4 linked regions of the Caenorhabditis elegans genome follow. The protein of the gene in region 4 interacts with the protein of the main gene of each other region in a pairwise test. Each region holds a gene or a part of one and is shown on either strand. Other genes may lie near its edges. The genes, in order: ZK792.4, brc-2, Y39B6A.1 and pqn-54.

Region 1 (6,072 bases), on a different chromosome or scaffold from region 4:
GGAAGGTGAAATACCGGTCGGATCACGGAAGGAGAGAGAAATGAAGTAAGGGAGAGAATAGCATACACATCCACCCTCTTAACTTTGACTTTTGCCGCACTCTTACCTCTCGGTGAAGGTGCATGCTTCTTCTACACTTCATTACTTACAGTTTCTACGGAAACCTGAATAGAGATATTTTAACTGATTGCTCGAAAATTTATATTTTTCCATAGACCATTATGTGTGAAACTCTTCAATTCGAGTCTGAAATATAGTTAAAGTTTAGCTTGATCTTTTTCACCCTTGGTCACAGTTCCTCGGCTCGGACGTAGCTTAAGTTAAAGGCCAGTAGGAGCACCACCCTTACTTCCAGTTCTGGAGTGCATATGGCTTGAGGAACGCATTATTATCCTTATTTTTAGATTTTAGATTTATTTGAAGGTGTTAAAAGGTGTGTTTTCAACTGAAAAATATTTATTATTTCTTTTTTCTACAGTTTGGTTGTGAAATACTTTTTGCTCATTTCTAAATAAAATGTGCTATTAATGTAAGGTAAATTTTCAATACATGGTGCATCGTTAACTACCACTTCTAAGGTTTGAACGCTGATATCTCGAGTTTCTTTTGTTGTATGAAAAAATATGTCGACTGAAAAGTTTATATATATATATATTCTTAGAGTACATTCCAGATAGAATACACTTGGAAAAAATTCAGAACTGTGCAAACAATATTCAAAGAAATTTTTTTCTGACAAGTCTTTTAGATAGATATTTCACATCAATGTTCAATTTTTAAAGTCAAGTATATTTCAAATTTACCATAAATAAGTTCTTGATTTTCCTCAAAAAAATATATTTTCGTCTGATTTGTGCTCAAAACTGTGTTTATTTGAAGTTGCTCAATATTTGTAAGTCTTTTCTTGTGTCGCGCATGTCAACAGAGACACATTCCCTCTCAAACAGTAATTCGGTTTAGTACTCTTCTATTCCACTTTTTCATTTTTTTGTCTGTGCACGTTCCAATTCGTTCACTTTTTGTGCTCGTTTGTGCACATTCAAGAGTGAGTCCTTGATACAAAACTTTTGTCGAAAGTAGTACTTTTACAAGTAATACAGGACTAGTTACTTGTTTAGTCTGAAATATTTGTCGCTTTTTCAACTTTCTGCTTACCGCCTGATTATTGATTACAAAGAATCACAATTTTGAGTCGTCTTAAATAATCCAACCTGCGAAAATCTTAAGTTTAATGGTGAAGTAGCGTCAGTTGGCAGTTTGCTAAAAATACAGAACAGTGGTTTAAAAGTTTATTTAATTGAAACAATCGAAGATGCTTTAGAATTTTCCAAACTTGTCAGCCAAAGTTTTTGCAAATTGTTAAATTTTCAAAGATTTTTTTTTGAGAAATTTCTAGCAAGCTTGCATGTTCGAAGCCCTACTGTTACTGTTTGTTACATACAATTTAAAAATTAATAAAATATAAAAGGTTTTTTATGTAAAATTATGATATATCAATGTGTGACAGCCATTTTCGACTTGTAAATTTTTGTAAATTGAGTTGTGGAGTAAATTGTAAAGTAAGATTGTAAATAGAAATATTAAAAAAACACTGATTTATGTTTTTTTTTAATTTAAAAATTTCTATTTTTTCTATTGTATTTTATTTTCCCGGAGAGTGTGAATTAAAAAAACAGTTTACTTGGCACTGCCTTGCCGTTTGGCTCTTTGATCTTATTTTTTAAGACTAGATAGACTTTGAAATATTGAAATCCAATCTCATCAAGTACAAAAGATCGAACAAATATTCGTTTCGCGCTCTTTTCACGTTTCCTCGCATTTCAATTGACAGGTTATTTAATCATTAATGATCAATCACATTTTAATTTCAGAATTCCAAAGTTTCAATGTCATCAGAACGTAGTGGTCCCAATGGATCATTGGAAGAGTAAGAACACTTATGAAATATGTTTAACAAAAATGTGTATTTCAGTAACGGTGACTATTTGCCATTAGAAGTAATTGGTGAGGAAAATTCTTTAGATGAGAATCATGTGTGTGAAGATGTAATTATGTCAATTACAAATAAGCATGTGCAATGTTTGGCGAGGTATGTAATTTAGTTACTTTTGCTCTCATGCTCCACGTTTAACTTTTTGTTCATTATAGAAATATGATTTCAGAACTATAAAAAAAAATTTCAAACAAAATTTTGAACTTTTATGACAGTTTGAAGACTCGATTTTCTGAGTGGGTCTCACCACGATCTCAGTCATTGAAGCTTCTAAAGATGCCAAAATTTATTTCATTTCTCGCTAGTTTCTTGCCCAAGTTTGGCCTAAAAAGTATTAAGGCAAATGTTGGGCAAAATTTTGGCAAGCCTAGGTTTAGCGGCACCCAAGTTACCGTATATTCTCTATTAGTGCTGCATGCATCACTAATTTCAGGCCCTTTTTTAATGCAGCACTATTAGAGACTGCAGTACTACTGGAGACTGCAGCATTAATTTTCGAACGGCTATTTTCAATTATAGATCACTAGTTTTTAGTCCCAAAAACTCATTTTTAAGCAGAAATTCATAAAAATTGCGAACTTTTGTAACAAAAAAACCCAATAATTCAATTACTTATTATCAAAAAATCATCAAAAATATACAAAAAAAACCAAAAATATCGAAACTGTCAAGTAACTCTTTCAATAGAAAATGGGGTGCAGCACTAATAGAGACTGCAGCACTATTTTTCGGACCCTTTTTGAATGCAGCACTATTAGAGACTGCAGTACTACTGGAGATACAGCACTAATAGAGAATATACGGTATGTTTGAACGACAGACTTTCAAATGTTTAAATTCCAGATTTTCGAACAATGACCTGCTTGCCAAGGACACTATCGGTCAAAATGCTCTTCACATGGCAGCCCGGGTTGGAAATTTGAACATTTTGAAGTGAGTGTAAAGATGCAGATGAAGGAGGGCAATTGAGTGCTTTTCCCTTCCGGCAGATCAGCTCGGAATTGATATGCGTTGGAAGGGGAGATGGAAGAGCAAACAAAAAGAGAAATCAGGTCATTGACGAGAGATTGAGATTTTTTGCAGGTACTTACTGGACAGACTTCCCGAGCTTAGGGACATCCAGTCGACGAATGGTGAAACTGCAGCACACATCTCGGCTGCTCATGGAGGTATTGAGAAGGGGATTCTGAGTTGGAAATGTTGGGAAGGGAGCCTTCTAATCTTATAATGAAGACCTCAAAAAACTTTTTTTTGGACGAGCCAGTTTTTGCGCTTTTCTCAATTTATGGGTGTAAATTACAGAAAACTTTAGATTGAAGAAATTTTCAGCAGCTTTCCATGTGAATGTAGCTCAAATTTGAAGATTTTCAAGTGAAAAAAAAAACCAAAAGGTTTTATTCATACAATTCTCGCCAAAAAGTTTGTGATGAAAATATTTAATTTTTAATTTTTAAATTTGGCTTTGAATAAAGAACAATGGGGAACAAAAGAGTGAAATCCGCGAGCCTTTGAGTAATCTGTTCTAAAAATTCCGAAATTACCATAAAACAAATTTAAAATCTCAATAGCCCTGGCGTATTTGATTTAATAGTTATCCACAATGAAACCTTAAAAATTGTTTCTAAAAAGATAAAATTACTGATTTTGAAATACAATTTTCCTAGATATGCGAGCACTTGAAATTCTTCTTGGCGGCTCCCTAAAATCGACAATGAATTGTGCAATGACCCGTGACGTCAACGGAACATCCATTCTTATGGCCGCAACTGCTCGTGGTGACACTGACATGAGCATCTGGTTGCTCAGAAAATTTGGAAAAGCACTTGCACTTCTCGATAATAACTGCAAAATGCTACCAGTTCATGTGGCAGCTGCACAAGGAAATATTGAGTTTCTTCGTGCCGCAATCAAGTTTGATAATCAAATGGTAAATGCAAGAGATGAATTTGGGTGTACTCCATGTGTATATGCTGTGCAAGGTGGATGTCTTGGAACTGTTCGATTCCTAGTTGAAAAGGCTAGAAGTGAAATGGGATCAGTGAGTAATAGAGGTCAATCTCTACTTCATATTGCATGTCTCTGTGGTCATGAACATATTGTAAGATGGATTTTAAATAGAAGTGGATCTGATGCTATTTTATGGACAACTAATGATAGAGCAAATGCTATACACTGTGCAGCATGTGAGTACATCTTTCTGATATTTTAAAGAAAAATGAACAAATTTCAGATTCCGGAAGTGTACCTGTTCTTTCTCATTTATTAAATGCATTCAGCAAAAAGAAGAGACATTATGTAATGACATTGAGGGATACAAGAGGAAATACTCCACTTCATTTGGCTGCAATGAATAATCATTTGGATGCAGCACTTTATATGGTTTGTGTTATAAAAGAAATTAGGGGTACGCGGCAATCGAAAATTATTAGCATTTGATGGTTTTTGATTTTCCAAAAACGAAAAATTTCTGAAATCGGTAGTCTCAAAAACTATGTGTATTCCGGAAGTTAATAAGTCAAGTCTTCATGTTTTTGCTTCAAATTTTAAAAATTATGAAACATTTGTATTTTCATAAATTTCTGAATTTATCGAAATTGCCGGCATTGTAATTGTGAATAAATATGTAATACACTTTCTTGTATTTAGCTTGAAAACGGTGCGGATCCAGCGTTGATCAATGCCAATGGTCACTCTCCTCAATCGATTGCAGCTCTCCGGCATCACAGAGAAATGGAAAGACTTGTGGCAGCTTATCAAGGGAAGCGAAGAAAGAGCAAGTCAAAGAAGAAGTCACAATCGATGCATGATCTATCACAATTTGCTTCTCCAAATCCGAATGGTCCAATTAGTCCAGGAGGTGTCACGAGTTATTCAAGTAATACAAACGGATTTGAGACGGCTGAAAGAAGAGCATTCTCGCCACGTGAATTAAGTTCGGGGTACTCGAGTAATGGAGATGTGGCTGAGTCGATGTAAGTTTTCAAAGAGGCTGAATGCAAAAAAATTCCAATTTCAGTAAAAGCGAGGCAGAAATCGTTCGCCATCGCCTCCGATTCATTGAAGATGACATTGATTCCCTCCGAGATACTGGTGCTCAAACAGAAATGGATCTTCTTCAGACTCATGTCAAAGTGCTTGATGATAAGACATGGGCTGGTCTCGGTCTTTCAGCTGTTGAACATATTGATCGAGTTCTTGATGAACTTGAATTTGAAGAGTAAATCAAGAGATTTTAAAGATTTCTGTATAACTTCTCATAACTTCTTTCAGTTTTTATTTACCGTCAAGTTCTTTCTAACCCTTTTCTTTTCTTCAAATTTTTAAATTGTAACGCTCGTATCGTTTGTGAAATTTACTTAAGAAACATTTACAGATCTCATTTTGTATATTCGTTGCAATTTGTTTTATTATCAAATAATTTTCCCAGAAATAAAAACTTAAACACAAAGTGAAGATTACTACTTTGTAAGTAGTTTCATAATACAAAAAAATATGGAAATGAAAGAAATTAGTTCCTGGTTTTCTGAATATCGTTGAACTCGTGGGAGATGATATAGATGCGTTGATCTCTGACCTCCTGAAAAATTTAAAATTGTAGAAATTATTCAAATGGCGCTTCTGGGGCACGCATCTCCCGCATTTTCCCTCTAGGAAACGATAAGTAAAAATACATCAAGACAATCTATATTTTATTAATTGAAATTTTCGATTGATTGGAGTAGTATTTGTTTTAGTTGAAAATCGTGGAAAAATGCTTTAAATTGTCCTAAAGTTCGAACTTGAAGTCAGTCCAATTTAGAACGGTACAGCCGGCTTCAGCTGAGTTGGACTGACATCGAGAAATGAAATACTTACCAAAAAGTCGTTGTACATCTCCACGGCAACTTCCGATGCAACCAAATCACTCTGAGCCTTGACGAAACTCAAAATAATTTTCCCGTCCATTGTGAGATACTTCTCTCCGAACTCTTTGAACAATTCCTTCTGATCGACAATACCATGATCCCGAATGCTGTGAAGCAAGCTGTTGATGATGTAGGGCTTCGCGATATGTGTGGCATTGTAGATGTGAGCAACGA
Region 2 (5,491 bases), on a different chromosome or scaffold from region 4:
GAGCTTTAAAATTATTATTAACCTAAAAGTAAAATTGTTGAAACCAAACTACATTTTTTGAAAAGTCAGGTCGACTTTTGTCAGAACGTATTCCAGACGCGAAATTGTCCGATTTTTTGCCAAGAATACGGTACCAGGTCTCGGCACGGCAAATTTTTGGAATCTTCAAAAAGGTGCGCGCCTATAAAGACTACTGTATCGTCAAGCTTTCATTTCTGCGGAATCGTCACAACGATTTGAAATTACAGTACTCCTTTAAAGGCGCACACACCTGTCGCATTCAACCAAAATTGTCGTGTCGAGGCCGGTTACCGTATTTTGAAGCAAAAATCACAGCTTTAATACATAATCAATAAACTATAATATATTCCAGGATCTCAATTTGAATCCGAATGCCTTCGACGTGGACTTCGATGCAAAAATCGCCGTGGCTCGGGCTCATTGACATTGTATAATGTGCAGGAGGAAAATACAAAACGCGAATTTACAATTGCTCTGGCAGCTCTTGAAGACAAAGAATTGGCTGAAAAACTGAAAATCTCCGAACAAAATTGCAATAATAACAATCTTCTGACTGTTCCACCTTCCTTCCAACTTTAATCAATTCATAGAATTTATTTTCCAATTGATCCCCCCTTATCTCTCGATTTCCCAAACATTTTGGGTTTTAGAAATTGTCTTTATAAGACCACAACTTCAAAATGACGTGTGCCTACTTGTATTTGTACTTGTATATTTTCTTGTTTCGGGTTTCTATTTTTCTAAATTTTCGAATTTCTGATGAAGATTTCATCGTTTCATAATAATTCTTTAACATGGAAACAACAGAAGGGGAACATATAAAATTAGAACGGGGATATTCTTTGAGAATAAATTAAAGCATTTGAACCATCTACGTTAAAACGAATAAACACAACAAAAAAATGATAAAATAAATGAAACATGATTAAATGAATATTCACATGAATGGAATATTATGGATGCTTCTTTTTCGAACGGCGTTTCTTCTTGTCTTCCTGAAAAATTATGGAATTTTATTAAATTTTAGCTGATATAATTTTGAGACTTAATTAAAATTGTAAAATTAGCACACTTATCACTCTAACGTGACCGATAATCATAATGAAACACTACAAAATTCTTAGATTTCTCAAATTTCAAGTCAAAGTTTTTTTTTGTAAATTGCAACCTTTTCAAAAATGTGAAATTTTTGGGTGATTTAGGGATTTTTGGCGAATTTTTTTGATTTATCAGATTCGAGAAAAAAATTTAACGCAATTGAGATATAAGAAAATGAAGAAAATGTCTGAAATTCTGGCCGACTTCTAAAATTATGATATGTGAAACAAAAAATGTTCTCTGTAATTTTTCGGTATCAATAAATTATACTTTATGTTTCAAGTAAGAGCCAAAATCTTTCCAGTCGACTTCTGCCACGTCAGTGCATTCCCATTCATCATTCGATTTTTCGATTTCAACCATAACAGGGCGGAACACATAGTTTTGTCTGAAAAAATGCAACGGAATTTAAAAAATTATAAATTGAAAGTTAAAACGCCGCAAAAATCTCACCGTTCCTGGGGGTCTTTGAATCGGAACCAATTGTCAAATCCTTCATATCCTAACAAATCGAGTAATTTCTTCATATTTTTTGTAGTCACATTGATAAACATTTGACCGGAGAAGTCCATAACTCGCACCTGAAGTTTTTTTGTAACGATACTTCCCAAAAACTAAAATTCAAAAAATTATCTAAATTCAGCTAAAATCTCAAACTTTGTCAACTTGACAATGTCACAACTCGCAGAAGTGAGTTCCGACCGCCGCACCACTGACAAGTCGGAAAAATTTGAGATTTTAGCTGAAAATAGGCTATTTATCCAAAACATTAAAAATGTTCTATATTAGGAAATAGGCAATATAAATATAAAGAACATACTCTAGAATACATCGACAATTCAGATTTTCCTTGGGAATCCTTACAAAACTCGCATTGATTCGCTGCTTCTGGGAGAGAGTGTTTGCATTTCGAACATCTGAAACCAATATTATTATATTAATTATCAAGGAATCAGTATGTACCCTGCATAAAAATCCAAATTTAAATCGAGTAAGTTAACTTGGACAACTGTTTTTTTGATTTTCGTGTCTGACAATTCGTGGATAACTGAAATAATAATTTTTTTAGGTGAAAACTCGAAATGGCTCACATCTGGGTTTGATGCAAAACGGCTTCTTGGCAATTGAATGGCGTCGGATACCGGATTTCGCACCATTTTCCTTATTTTTCAGAACTCTATCAATATAGATTTCTGTAACATCGCCTGAGCTTGCTGAAAGTTTACGAAAAATTAAATCAATAGCTACAATCGATTGAGCATTACATTTTTTACAGACTTCCGCGTCGACATGAATTCTGTCGCCAAATTTAATATCAGAGCCACGATTGTAGCTACAAGTGGCCAGGATTAGAGGAGTTGAGCTGGATTCTTGAAGAATAATTCGGAATTTATCCTTTTCGTAGATTCGAGAAACACGCAAAACATCGGCGTGGATTTCTGAAAAAAGACTCCGGATTACGAGAATTACGGAATAAAGAACAGTTTTCAAAAAGGAGAGCCAATTCTAGAGCTTAACTAACCTTTAAACTCCTTCTTCTTTTCTTTTTTCGAATGTTTTTTACTTTTTTTAGAAGAACTGCTGGTTGATTTTTTTGCTGGTGGAGCTTCGAAATCTTCGAAACCGCCGCTAGCCGGCCGTTTTGTAGTTGTTGAGCTCGTTCTGAAAAGAAAAACTTCGAGCTAGATAGCACCTTTGAAACTTACCCTTCTCTTCGAAACGGTGAAACGAAAGCGCTCGACCCATTGTTTTTGCGCACGAGAGGGGAAGAAAATCCGCCTTTAGACGAGGATTTGCTCTTGAGATCACTCTGAATTTGAAATTTTTTATATTAGAAGAATAAATGTGTTGTCGAAGTTAATTTCAGAATATGTTCCATTATTTCCTTTTAATTCCAAAGCTTACATTCAACATCTTCTTTGATTTATCAATCGATTCCTGCTTCACATCAATTCGGATACCAGCCGCTGTTGAAAAAACCGGTTCCATTGATATCGGTACGCCTTTCGGCTCATCAAAGCTGTCTGGTTCAGATATTGTGTCGAAACTGTCTTTTCTGAAAACAAAGAATTGCAATTCATGTATGTTTCTCAATTTTCTTGCTATAACAATAAAATAAATCTTGACTAACACTTTTTTAGATGAGTCACCCATCGGTCGATGTCACAATATTCTGGTAAAGTCTGAAAATTTCATTTTGAGTTCAGAAATTTGAGATTTCAATTGAAAAAAAGGGAAAAAATTAAATTTTTGTTTTTCAAATAAACTGAGAATTTTACTGTCCGGTGGAGCGTAATTGCATTATTTCCTTTTTGAGAAAAAAATTGCGACACTAATTTATTTATTTCCGCCTTTTCTTCTAATTTCGTAATGCAAAATCAATTATCTCACAAATTATAACACGAACCGTTTCTGCCGTTTAAAACTGTGGAAATAATTATATTTATGTGCGGTTTTCATTCATAAAACGAGGGGAAACCCCCAATTGACCTTTCCTCTCTGAATAAAAAAGCAAAGCAAATATTAAATCCGTGTATTTTTTGCGTCATTCTTTTCTATCTCTTACTCTTTTTGCCCCCGCAGTAATAAAGATCTAGAGAAATAGAGAAGAAAAGGAGAAAGTGAGGAAAAAAAATACATGCTCGCAGAGTTCGAAGCTTTGGTCTAACTAGTTGAGATTTCTTCCCAGCTTGATGTTTTTCCGGGTCGCTTTTTCCTTTCATCTCTTAAATTTTCATTTTCCATTTCTTGGGTATTTTCTTTTGATAATCAAATTAAAGAAAAAGCACTCGATTTTAGGTGCAATCATTCAAAAAATTCTTTTGATAAAATAATCACCTTATCACCATTTTAATGTCATTCCCGCCATGAAAACCTGATTTTACAGTCTAAACCTTTCCTATTTTCTCATGATGACGCTCTGATTTTTTTTAATTTCTCGACATAAATTTAATTTCAGCCAAACTTCAAAATGGCTCCATTGCCACGTGTGAAATGTTATTTCGATGTGGTCTGTCCCAATTCATGGATCACTATTCAGGTACATTTGTAATCTAGAAAAACTTGTTTTGATACAATTTAAACTGAAAGATTTTGTTTTTCCGGGTTTTCATTTCCATTGCCCTTCAGAATCATGTGCTTCACGTGAAATAGAAATGGGTCGCATGTGAAAAATAGATAGATCTCAGCCCTTTTTGAATGTTTTATTATTCCCGAAAATAAAAAAAGATGGAAAGAAAATCAAATATAATTTTCAGGCTCTTACATCACACAATTCTCTATTCGAGCGTATAGATTTTGAGCCAGTTTGTGATTTTAAAATTGGAATTCTTCATAATGCTCAAATCTGGAACCAACGTCGACAAGTACACAATTCGAGACTTTGGAAAACGAAAATAGGTAAGTAGTTTGAAAATATATAGAAATCCAAATAATCGCGGGAAAGTTATTTCAGAAGTTCCAGAGCAAGCAGAAAGCGAAGAAACACTCTCAGAAATGGGAATTCTACAAAAAATCGACGAGCGTGGCAAGAAACTTATTGGTTGTGAGCGTGTCGTGCCACCTGTAGATTGGAAAAACGTTAGATTGATTTCGAATATTTATTCTCAAACAAATATTTTTAGACCTACAAAACAGCGGTAGCACGTGGATCGGTCATCCCTCAGCTGTTCCTCACTTCAATCCGTGAACAATACCCAGACCTCTATGAAAAAGCAATTCATCACTTGGGAAAACGGCTCTGGGAGCAGCGACTTCCAGTTCACTACGGGTGTCACATGTCTACAGTATGCCGTGAACTTGGAATCTCATTCAAAATCGCAGAAGACATTGTGGCTCGTCTCTCATCTCCAGAAAATCGATCGATACTACACAAAAATTGCAAAGAAGCCGTGGATTTCAAAGTAAATTTTAATTTTCTAGAAATAAAATCAAGAATTTCCTTTTTCAGCTTACTGAAGCACCCGGATTAATCTTGTTAACTGATGAAGGAGACACTATAAAAGTTGATAAAATCAATGATATTTTTGATGATAATATCATGATTTCCAAGCTCTCAAGTGTATCATCAAGCCAACCAGTCGAGCAAAAAATGTCTGCAAATCGACTTTAAATTTAGTTTTTTTGTTTCCAATTCTTCCTTCCTCACCCACCTTTTTCTTCATATTTACCCACTTTTATTGCACTTTACTCGCATCAGTTTAGTCTTTTTTTTTCCCAAATCCTGTACCCTCTACGGTGATTATAATCAATTCGATCAAATTCATTGTGTTATCCTCCGGTTCAATTTATTCCACCCATCTCCAATTTAGTATATTTCCTTTCTCTGTTACCAAATGATTGCATAAATAGACATATTTTTCTTCTTACCGCT
Region 3 (5,495 bases), about 18 Mb from region 4:
AATTTTGGGCGCTGCTAAGACTACAAACTACATGATTTTGGGCGCTGCTAATTCAATTTTGGGCGCTGCTAAGACTACAAACTACAAGTTTTGGGCGCTGCTAATTCAATTTTGGGCGCTGCTAAGACTACAAACTACGAGTTTTGGGCGCTGCTTAGACTACAAACTACAAGATTTAGGCGCTGCTTATTCAATTTTGGGCGCTGCTTAGACTACAAACTACAAGATTTTGGGCGCTGCTAAGACTACAAACTACATGATTTTGGGCGCTGCTTAGACTACAAACTACGAGTTTTGGGCGCTGCTTAGACTACAAACTACAAGATTTAGGCGCTGCTTATTCAATTTTGGGCGCTGCTTAGACTACAAACTACAAGATTTTGGGCGCTGCTAACACTACAAACTACAAGATTTTGGGCGCTGCTAATTCAATTTTGGGCGCTGCTTAGACTACAAACTACGAGTTTTGGGCGCTGCTAAGACTACAAACTACAAGTTTTGGGCGCTGCTTAGACTACAAACTACAAGATTTTGGGCGCTGCTAAACTACAAACTACAAGATTTTGGGCGCTGCTAACACTACAAACTACAAGATTTTGGGCGCTGCTAATTCAATTTTGGGCGCTGCTAATTCAATTTTGGGCGCTGCTAAACTACAAACTACAAGTTTTGGGCGCTGCTAATTCAATTTTGGGCGCTGCTAAGACTACAAACTACAAGTTTTGGGCGCTGCTATGCGATTTTTCGTATAAAAAACCTAGTTTTCGACTGTTTTTTCGGCAAAAAATTGGAAAAATGAAGAAAAAGTGAGTTTGGGCGCTGCTAAAACTACAAACTACAAGATTTGGGCGCTGCTATCGCAATTTTTCATGTTTTTTTTCTTCGTTTTTCTCCACTAAACACAATGAAATTAATTTATTCGACACGGAAAAATTGGTACAAAAAATTACAAATTCGCTAGAAAAATCGATACAAACAAAAAAAAAAGGCTGTTCAGGATTTATCCAAAAAGTACATGTAATGCAGTGACGCATCAATTGTGGCGAGCAGAAGCTCATCGACCGCCCGTCTAGTGGCTCTTCTTATGTGACTTCTTCGTGTGCTGCTTCTTTGAATGCTTCGAATGGTGTCCATGATGGTGGTGGTTCTCCTTGTCGTCATGGTGTCCGTGGTGGGCTCCGTGATGGGCTCCGTGCTCGTGGTGGGCTCCGTGGTGTCCGTGGTGAGCCGGGGAGTGATGGGCTCCGTGGTGGGTCCCATGACCTCCGTGATGTCCGTGATGTGCTAGGGAGTGGTGGGTTCCGTGGTGTCCGTGATGGACTCCGTGAGATCCGTGGTGATGATCTCCATGGTGTTCGTGATGCTCATGGTGTGGGGCGTGGTGGTGGTGGGCTCCGTGGTGTCCATGGTGAGCTCCGTAGCCTGCTCCATGATGTCCGTGATGAACTCCATGCTCCCCATGGTGTCCGTGGTGAGCCGGTGCGTGGTGACCATGCCCATGGGATTCGTGGTGTCCGTGATGAACTCCGTGAGATCCGTGGTGTCCGTGGTGTCCGTGATGAGCTGGAGCATGGTGGTGCTCCCCATGATGTCCGTGGTGAGCTGGGGAGTGATGGGATCCGTGGTGTCCGTGGTGGGTCCCATGTTCCCCGTGGTGTCCATGGTGTGCTGGAGCATGGTGGTGCTCTCCATGATGTCCGTGGTGGGTCCCATGTTCCCCGTGGTGTCCGTGGTGTGCTGGAGCATGGTGGTGCTCCCCATGATGTCCGTGGTGAGCTGGGGAGTGATGGGATCCGTGGTGTCCGTGGTGGGTCCCATGTTCCCCGTGGTGTCCATGGTGTGCTGGAGCATGGTGGTGCTCTCCATGATGTCCGTGATGAGCTGGAGCATGGTGGTGCTCCCCATGATGTCCGTGGTGGGCTGGGGAGTGATGTCCGTGTCCATGGGATTCGTGGTGTCCATGATGAGCTGGAGCATGGTGGTGCTCTCCATGGTGTCCGTGGTGGGTCCCATGTTCCCCGTGATGAGCTGGGGAGTGGTGGGTCCCATGGTGCTCTCCATGATGTCTGTGGTGGACTCCGTGCTCGTCGTGATGAGCTGCGTGCTCATGGTGCTCTCCTTCCTTGTGCTCGTGATGAGCTCCATCCTTGTGCTCGTGGTGCTCATGATGGGCTGGAGCGTGCTTCTTCTCGTCCTCAGATTCTGAGGAAGATGAGGAGCTGGAGCTGGAGCTGGAGGAAGAGCTAGAGCTAGAAGAGCTCGCGGCCTTCTTGTGATGCTTCTTTCCGTGGCTCTTCTTGTGATGCACCTTCTTCTTCTTCTTCTCGTCTTCAGATTCCGAGGAAGAAGACGATGAAGAAGAACTGGAAGAGGAAGAGGAGCTGCTGGAAGAGCTGGAGCTGGAAGCGGCCTTCTTGTGATGCTTCACGTGCTTCTTGGCGGCGTGCTTCTTGTGATGGTGCTTCTCATCCTCGGATGAGGAAGAGGAGCTGGAGGAGCTCGAGCTCGAGCTGCTGGACGAGCTAGACTCGGCCTTCTTGTGATGCTTCTTCACGGCATGCTTCTTGTGGTGATGCTTCTCGTCTTCGGACTCCGACGACGAAGAAGACGAGCTGGAGGAGCTGGAGCTAGAGGAGCTTGACGATGAGCTGCTGGAAGAGCTCTCAGCCTTCTTGTGATGCTTCTTCAGATGCTTCTTGGCATGCTTCTTATGGTGATGCTTCTCGTCTTCGGACTCAGATGAGGAGCTGGAAGAGGAGCTTGAGCTGGAGCTCGAGGAGCTGGATGAGCTGGAAGAGCTAGACTCGGCCTTCTTGTGATGCTTCTTAAGATGCTTCTTGGCGTGCTTCTTGTGGTGGTGCTTCTCGTCCTCGGATTCAGACGAAGAGGAAGAGGATGAGGATGAGCTGGAGGAGCTGGAGCTCGAGCTGCTGCTGGAGGAGGAGCTGGAGCTGCTCGAGTCCTGAGCCTTCACATGGTGATGGTGGTGGTGGACCTCGTGGTGGCCTGGATGGGCTCCGTGAGCATGATGGGTATGGTGACCGTGGTGTGGGGAGATGAAGCTCAGGAATCCTGAAATATTCCTGTTTATTAAGAGATTCCAAAGCTCCGGACCAACCTTTCAATGAGATGTGTCCATCATGAGCATGATGATCAAAGACCTTCTGGAAGTGGAGCTCCTTGGCCAGGTGCTCAATATCGTGGAGCGCCGAGCGAGCTTCATCCCGAGTGAGCTTATGCCCGTGCGAGGAGTGCTTCGAGAAGAGCTTCTCTGAAAATTATCATGATCTTTGACTACCGTAGGTGATACTAAGAAACTACAACTGATAACATGTCAGTTGTGTTGTGTTGGCAAACATTTCCGAAATTTTCTAATTTTTTCGGTAATTTCACTGATAAGAATGATCTTTGGCAGGAAGCGCCGAAAACTCACTGATCTTGTGAAGCGACACGTGGTGGGTGTGATGATGATGGTGCACCGTCATTGTTTAGGTTCTGGAATTTTCAGAATTTTCAGAATTTTACTCGAAATTCAAAGTTAAGAGGGATTTTAGAAGTAAAATCGAGAAAAAGCCCCGAAAATTTTGATAATCACCGTCCTCCTCCGCCCCATTTTATAAGCTTTTTTTAGGCTCCGCCTCCCTTAAGTTTGACTCCGCCCATTTTGACACGGGAGGCAATTAAAAGTTTTGATGATGTTTGGAGAAGTGAGAGATCGAGATAAGACACCCGGAGAAGGAGAAACGTGAAAATTTGGGACGATGATTGTCAGAGTGATGTAATATTTGGGGAGGTAATAGGAGAGGTGATGAAGTCTGACAGCTGTTGAGCATCAGCATTTGATTAATTTTCAAAATTTTCAAATTTTCAGCTGATTGTATTATAGTAGTTCACTGAAGGGTTTTGTGTGAGAAGTTGGAGGTTTTTGTGATTTTTCGGGTCTCGGTAGGTTCTAGCATACCGAAAAAGAGCCTGACCTTTGGACACTGACCTTTTCTGGAACGTTTAACTGCTTCCAATAAGCTTCAAGTGGCTCCGAGCAGCCTGATTGCTAAAATTTTCTAATTGTTTCAGTTAGATCATAGACATTTCTAGCGGCTTCCAACTAGTCCTAGACCCTTCCAAGTACTTCTAGAAGCTACCAGCCTGACCTAGGAGTTCAAAGCCTGGCCTAGGCGCCCAGCAAGCTTTCTGAAGGCTTCAATTTGCTTTTAGTAAGCCTTGTGATCGTCTAGCAGATCTAAAGTGCCTTCACGAGCTCTTAGTGATTCCGAAAAGCCCGACTGCTGAAATCTTCCAATTGCCTCCAACAGCTCATAAATGTCTCTAGAAGCTTCCAGCCTGACCTAGGAGTTCAAGCAAGCTTTCTAAAGGATTTAATTTGCTTCTACTGAGCCCTGTACTATTCTAATAGGCCTCAAGTCCTTTGTGAGTTCCCAGTGGCTCCTAGCAGATTTTAGCAGCTCCGACGAGCACGGCTTCTAGCAGCTCCCTATTGGTCCGATAAGCTTCTATGGGCCTCTAGAAGCTCCCAACTGGCTTTAGCTGCCCTCAAGAGCTCTGAGCAGCACTGGGTTGCTTCAAGGTGTTAGATTCCTGGTTTTCCAGATTTTAACCAAATTCAGCAGCTCTGATTGGGCTTTCGGAGCTTTCAGCACCCGCCGACCTTTCCCAACTGCCCCTAAAAACTCCAAACTGTGTTTTCTGAAGAGCCACACCCAAAACTGCTATTTTATGAGCCTGTGGCATTTCCAAAGATGATGGCAAACTTTTAATGGTGCTCTTAACACCTTTTTTTTGTTGGAAATTCGAAATACTAGTTTTCTAGTTTTCCAAATATCATGTGATCATTCAATCTTGCAATGGTGGTTATAATTCATTATTTGCACCAACAATTAATACTCCTTATCTCTATAATGTTCTTAATTTGCTGCAATTGAACTGGTTTTTGAAGTACCAACTACACTTTTTGAAGGTTTCCGGTGGAAAATTCAGGAGTTTGAGCAATTTTGTCAGAAATTTCCGTTTCCTGACAATCTTCTGGCTTCAAAATTCGAGTTTTTGACTTTTTCTCAAAAAAAACCGGGAAAATTAGGAGAAAAAGCTTCAAATCTGGATAGTTTTTCCGGAAAAACATCGAAAATCGATGTTTCCTCAATTTTCCTGAAACTTTGATATTTTTTGGGCCTTTGACTTGAAATTTCAAGCATTTCACAGCATACTGTCGTGGAATTCATACAGGCAGCCTAATTTTTAAGATCCTTGACTTTTTTCCAGTTCCTGTACATTTTCAGCATTCGGGAGCAATTTCCGCCCCACGTTCCGAAACCAAAAACCGCAAAACTATTCGAAAAATGTGCCATCAGCAGGTTTTTCTCTCTCCATAATTGATTATCGGTCATTCTGCCGCTGCCACTCGTTTTTCCTCTTCCTTATCAAATTTTGATGTAGTTTTACGATTGCTCCGAGAATATAGAGTGGCCCCACGTGACAAA
Region 4 (4,282 bases):
CTTGGTTCTATGGTGACCGAGACATATCGATAGGAAACATTTTTTCGTAATATGCAACCATCATGTGTCATTTGAAAGTGTTTCATGAGGCTATGTCACTGCAAAATTTTAAGCGGCAAAGCTCTACTCTCAACCCCAAAAATTTCGATCTTAAATTGTTTCAGGCCAGTAGAATTGGTCCTGATTTTTTTTGTGCAAATTTTCAATGTTTTTTAGAACGGCTAGAAATAAGTTTACATTCTGGGAAATTTTTAAAAATTTTAAAAAATTTTTGAAAAAAAAATCTAAAAATTTCCTCAATCCACTCCACTCGGTTCAAAAATTTTTCAGATTTTTTGAAAAAATTTAAAAATTTTCAAAAATTTTCCAGAATGCTTACCTACTTTTAACCGTTTTGAAAAACATTGAAAGTTTGCAACAAAAAAAATTTGGAGCAATTCTACAGGCCTCCAAAGTAGTGAAGAAGTGCACTGTAACAGTTTCAGATCGATGCTAGAGGGGTTGAGAGTGGAGCTTTGCCGCTTAAAATTTTGTAGTAATATATCCTTATGGAACACTTTTAAATGGCACTTGTCTCGTTTTGAAGTCTGACATTAAAAAATAAAATAAAATAAAAACCTTTCCTTGAAAAGCGGCCATGTTATTTTTTAGTGCTAATCTAGTCAATAAACTGTGAGCCAGCTATAAGTTTTGTAGTCATTGTTCATTTTCTAGACAATAAAAAACCAAATAATGTAAATCAATTAAAATATCAAAGTTGTTTATTAAGTTCTTGTGAAACTAATTGGTTTCATTATATACAAAAACTTGAAGTCATTGTTCAGAGTCCGTTCACTTTCTTCTACAGCACTGTCCATTTCCGCATGGAGAGTAGTTAGCTTGGCAGGAGCACGAGTTTTGTGGGCTTTGTGGGCTCTGCTGGCAAGCCGTAGTCGCTGGCTGAGCGGCTTGGCAGGAGCTGGAGCACGAGTCCTGGCAGGCAGACTGGCACTGAGCGGCTGGTTGTTGTTGCTGAACGCATTGCTGCTGGCACGACTGCTCGCATTGTGGAGTACACTGGGAGGACTGGGCGACGGAGGATTGGAGAACGATTTGGATCACAGCTTGGGAAGATGCTGGGGCGGATGTGCTGGCATCGTATGGGTTGTACATTGGAGCTGGAGTCTGAGAAGTGCAGGAGTTGTCACAGGCTGGCTGGCAGGCTGGGGCGCAGTTGGCGGATCCGGAACCTTGGTTGTTGTTGTTGTATGGATTGTACATTTGGGTGTTGGTGTTAGAGTTCTGGTTGTAGACCTGTTGAGTGGCTTGAGCAGTTTGTTGGCAAATGTTGGAGCACTGGCTGTTACAAGCCGAATTGCACTGGTTAGCTGGCTGTTGTTGTTGGGTGCAGGATGATTGACACTGTTGCTGGCACTGTGGTTGGCATTGAGCTTGAGCCTGTTGGATCTCGAGTTGGATGTGGACTACTTGTGGTGCCTGAGTGGATGTGGCTGGAGCATCGCAGGCAACGTTGCACTGTTGCTGGCATTGTGGCTGGCATTGGGAAGCTGGTTGTTGTTGCTGAACACAGGTGGATTGGCACTGCTGTTGGCACATTGGCTGGCATTGGACGACTGGAGCTGGTGTGGTGGTGGCTGGTGGATTGTACATTGGAGCGCACTGGGATTGGCACTGCTGTTGGCATTGTGGCTGGCACTGGGCTACCGATGGTGCAGCCTGGCATTGTTGGGTGCAGCTCTGTTGGCAAGCTGGAGCACATTGAGTGGTTTGGACCTGAAAGTCTCTCTTTGGAGCTATAGCATAAGTTTGCTAGTAACCTGAACATTCTGGGTTTGTTGTGGTTGAGCGCAAGAGCATGATGGGGATTGTTGCTGAACTGGAGCAGATTGGCACGAGCACGATTGAGTCTGTTGAACCTGTTGGCACGAGCATTGGCTCTGCTGGGGTTGAGCACATCCGCATTGTCTCTTCTCACGAAGCACATTGCCCTGAAAATTAATATTCGTAGACTCAAATTTTTAGATCTTGCACAACTTACAGACACCACTAGGGCGCAGGCGAAGAAGGCAATGGCGAGGGAGGTGAAGCGCATGATTAGAGCCGAAAGTATCGGATGAGTATTTCCATTTGATTGTGGGCTTATATACCATCTCGCTTGAAACTATCCCAACCATCTTCCGCCTTCTCATGCCGCGCGGCAAACAATTTATCGCGTGAAAAAGTGTTCGGTAAGACGAGCAAAGATGAAAAAAAAAGAGACGGTGAGCAGTGCACTCGAGTGGCCTATTCAAATAATCTTTGATTGACAAGAGAAAAAATTCATGATGTATGTGCACCAACACTTTGTTGAACTTCCTGCCCGTTATCACAGAATATATAGAGGTTATCGCTAACATGGAAATCAGTAAGTGTGTCGCGGGCGATGGAAGTGCAGAGATTTCCAGTTTGATTCCTGTGACAATGACTTTTCAACAACCGAATAATCGACGAAACAGTGGCACCCTTTCGAAAACGAGCATATTTTTGTATTGTGCCTATATTTCGACATGCTTGGTGAGTGTAGAGGGAATTTAAAACTAGGAAGAAAAAAAAAGAAATTCGCATACTTTTATAAACTTCAAAATTGTTTTTTAGTTCAATGTGGAAAAACATGAACATTCAATTTTTCGATACTATTTACAGGAAGACAGGGCTTGGTCATTCTGTGTCTCTCTTTGTATGGACCTGATGGGTGGTATGAGAGTGGTTTCCATTGAGCAGCTTTTCGAGGGAGTCTTGCAAATGTTTCTCAGCGGATATTTAGGAAAGCATTTCGACGGGCTCTCGAGGAAACGGGGTACGGTAGACAACTAAACGATCCCGTGGTGTCAGCCTGCCTCATTGCGGTTCGATCTACGACAAATGGGAATATTTTACCAGAAAAATTGTGACGTCAGCACGCTCTTAACCATGCAAAATCAGATGAGATCTCTGCGTCTCTTCTCTCGCATTTTTCGAAGATCACAGCAAAATGGGACGTTCTGACTCCACGTGAACGATTCATTTTTACAAATTTCGATTACTGCAAAAATGATTTGTTCAAGTATCACATTGACCTAACAAAAACTACAATCAAATACTTATTTCGTGAGTATTTGTAAGAGAAAATCAAGTTTTCAATTTCAGCAATCATGACCGTCGTACCGTTGAACAATTTGAGTATTTGTGCTGCAGCTGCTCTTATTATCAGTGAGTTCTAATTTGACACTGATGTAGGTACTCGAAGCTAAAATATTTTAAGCTTGTCTGTCTATCGATGCCACGTCACCGTGGTACATAGTCTGCCTGGTTCTAGCAATGTGCATATGCGCGGTGAACCGGCTTTTCCTGAACGCGGAAAAGTTCATCACAGGCAGAGATTGGGTTATGGTACTCGGAAATGATGGTACACTGTCGAATATGAACGCAACTCTGTTGACATTGGATCAATGTACCAATGTTATTGCACCGTTAGTAACTGGTGTTAGTTCTGTGTTCGCTTTTTAATTCCAAAGTAAAAACAAACTAAGTTAAGGCTCTGGTGACCTGGGTTGGTCTTCGTGAAACAGTTGGAATATTTGGTATAGCCTCTCTTGTTTCAATGGCTTCAAAAACCATTTTCCTTAGAGCAATCTACATCTCCAATCCTCTGCTTCAAGTGAAGAAAGACAAGAAAGATGAAGCGCTAGACCCATTCGCCAATTCAAGGCTCAAAGAATCTGTGGTTTACACGTACTGGTGCCAGATCTCATTCCCAGCTGCATTTGGAATGAGTCTTCTATTCATGACAGTGATGGGATTTGATGGATTAGCTGTAGGATATGGCTCAAGTGTAGGGCTTCCGGAATTTGTTATCGGAGCATTCAGATCCTATGGATCCGTGACTGCGATCCTTGGAGCGTTTTCCTACGCATTCTTCGAAAAGCGATACAGTGTCGCCACTTCAGGACTACTGGGATTGGTTGTTCAGCAGTTTTTTGCGGTTCTAGCAGTTATATCCGTGTTCCTCCCGGGATCTCCTATGAACCTTGGTGGATACTTTGGAAACTTCACTATGGGAACTTGGTGGCACGATATGGTTCACTCTTTCGACGGGAATAACGCTACAAACTTGGACCCACATGTTGATTGGAAGCACTTTTCGTCTGATGGTGTCAGTTTGGCCAGCATCTTTGTGTTCTTGATTGCGATTGCATCCGCAAGATATGGTGAGTTTGGGTTTTTTTTAAGGTGGTGTAGTCGAATTTTTTATTACCTTATCAGG

What was found.
Region 1: the proteins of pqn-54 (region 4) and ZK792.4 interact in a two-hybrid assay, tested with the Caenorhabditis elegans proteins (one large-scale study listed by BioGRID).
Region 2: the proteins of pqn-54 (region 4) and brc-2 interact in a two-hybrid assay, tested with the Caenorhabditis elegans proteins (one large-scale study listed by BioGRID).
Region 3: the proteins of pqn-54 (region 4) and Y39B6A.1 interact in a two-hybrid assay, tested with the Caenorhabditis elegans proteins (one large-scale study listed by BioGRID).

Annotation. Positions count from the first base shown.
Region 1 is NC_003282.8:11,677,805-11,683,876, reverse strand, and holds ZK792.4 (ANK_REP_REGION domain-containing protein), read left to right. Parts: upstream 1-1,871; 5' UTR 1,872-1,886; coding exon 1,887-1,927; intron 1,928-1,972; coding exon 1,973-2,089; intron 2,090-2,256; exon of another isoform or gene 2,257-2,406; intron 2,407-2,836; coding exon 2,837-2,926; intron 2,927-2,942; exon of another isoform or gene 2,943-3,076; coding exon 3,077-3,162; intron 3,163-3,657; coding exon 3,658-4,176; intron 4,177-4,223; coding exon 4,224-4,372; intron 4,373-4,639; coding exon 4,640-4,965; intron 4,966-5,009; coding exon 5,010-5,214; 3' UTR 5,215-5,441; downstream 5,442-6,072. Other genes in the region: inx-9 (Innexin), read right to left, coding at 5,502-5,570, 5,849-6,072.
Region 2 is NC_003281.10:6,899,805-6,905,295, forward strand, and holds brc-2 (DNA repair protein brc-2), read right to left. Parts: upstream 3,303-5,491; 5' UTR 3,274-3,302; coding exon 3,251-3,273; intron 3,176-3,250; coding exon 3,025-3,175; intron 2,930-3,024; coding exon 2,826-2,929; intron 2,782-2,825; coding exon 2,642-2,781; intron 2,559-2,641; coding exon 2,385-2,558; intron 2,334-2,384; coding exon 2,211-2,333; intron 2,168-2,210; coding exon 2,083-2,167; intron 2,037-2,082; coding exon 1,940-2,036; intron 1,701-1,939; coding exon 1,573-1,700; intron 1,508-1,572; coding exon 1,390-1,507; intron 1,017-1,389; coding exon 975-1,016; 3' UTR 764-974; downstream 1-763. Other genes in the region: T07E3.4 (F-box domain-containing protein), read left to right, coding at 374-600; T07E3.3 (DSBA-like thioredoxin domain-containing protein), read left to right, coding at 4,091-4,159, 4,377-4,518, 4,574-4,698, 4,743-5,021, 5,069-5,230. UniProt on the Caenorhabditis elegans protein: Required for the homologous recombination repair of DNA double strand breaks, thereby playing a role in chromosome integrity. Acts by targeting rad-51 to sites of DNA damage and stabilizing rad-51-DNA filaments by blocking ATP hydrolysis catalyzed by rad-51.
Region 3 is NC_003283.11:19,200,113-19,205,607, forward strand, and holds Y39B6A.1 (Histidine-rich glycoprotein-like), read right to left. Parts: upstream 3,496-5,495; 5' UTR 3,486-3,495; coding exon 3,434-3,485; intron 3,272-3,433; coding exon 3,119-3,271; intron 3,073-3,118; coding exon 1,070-3,072; 3' UTR 901-1,069; downstream 1-900.
Region 4 is NC_003283.11:1,462,824-1,467,105, reverse strand, and holds pqn-54 (Prion-like-(Q/N-rich)-domain-bearing protein), read right to left. Parts: upstream 2,117-4,282; 5' UTR 2,093-2,116; coding exon 2,039-2,092; intron 1,989-2,038; coding exon 1,818-1,988; intron 1,774-1,817; coding exon 832-1,773; 3' UTR 746-831; downstream 1-745. Other genes in the region: fpn-1.2 (Solute carrier family 40 member), read left to right, coding at 2,461-2,553, 2,683-2,836, 3,166-3,228, 3,281-3,501, 3,554-4,226.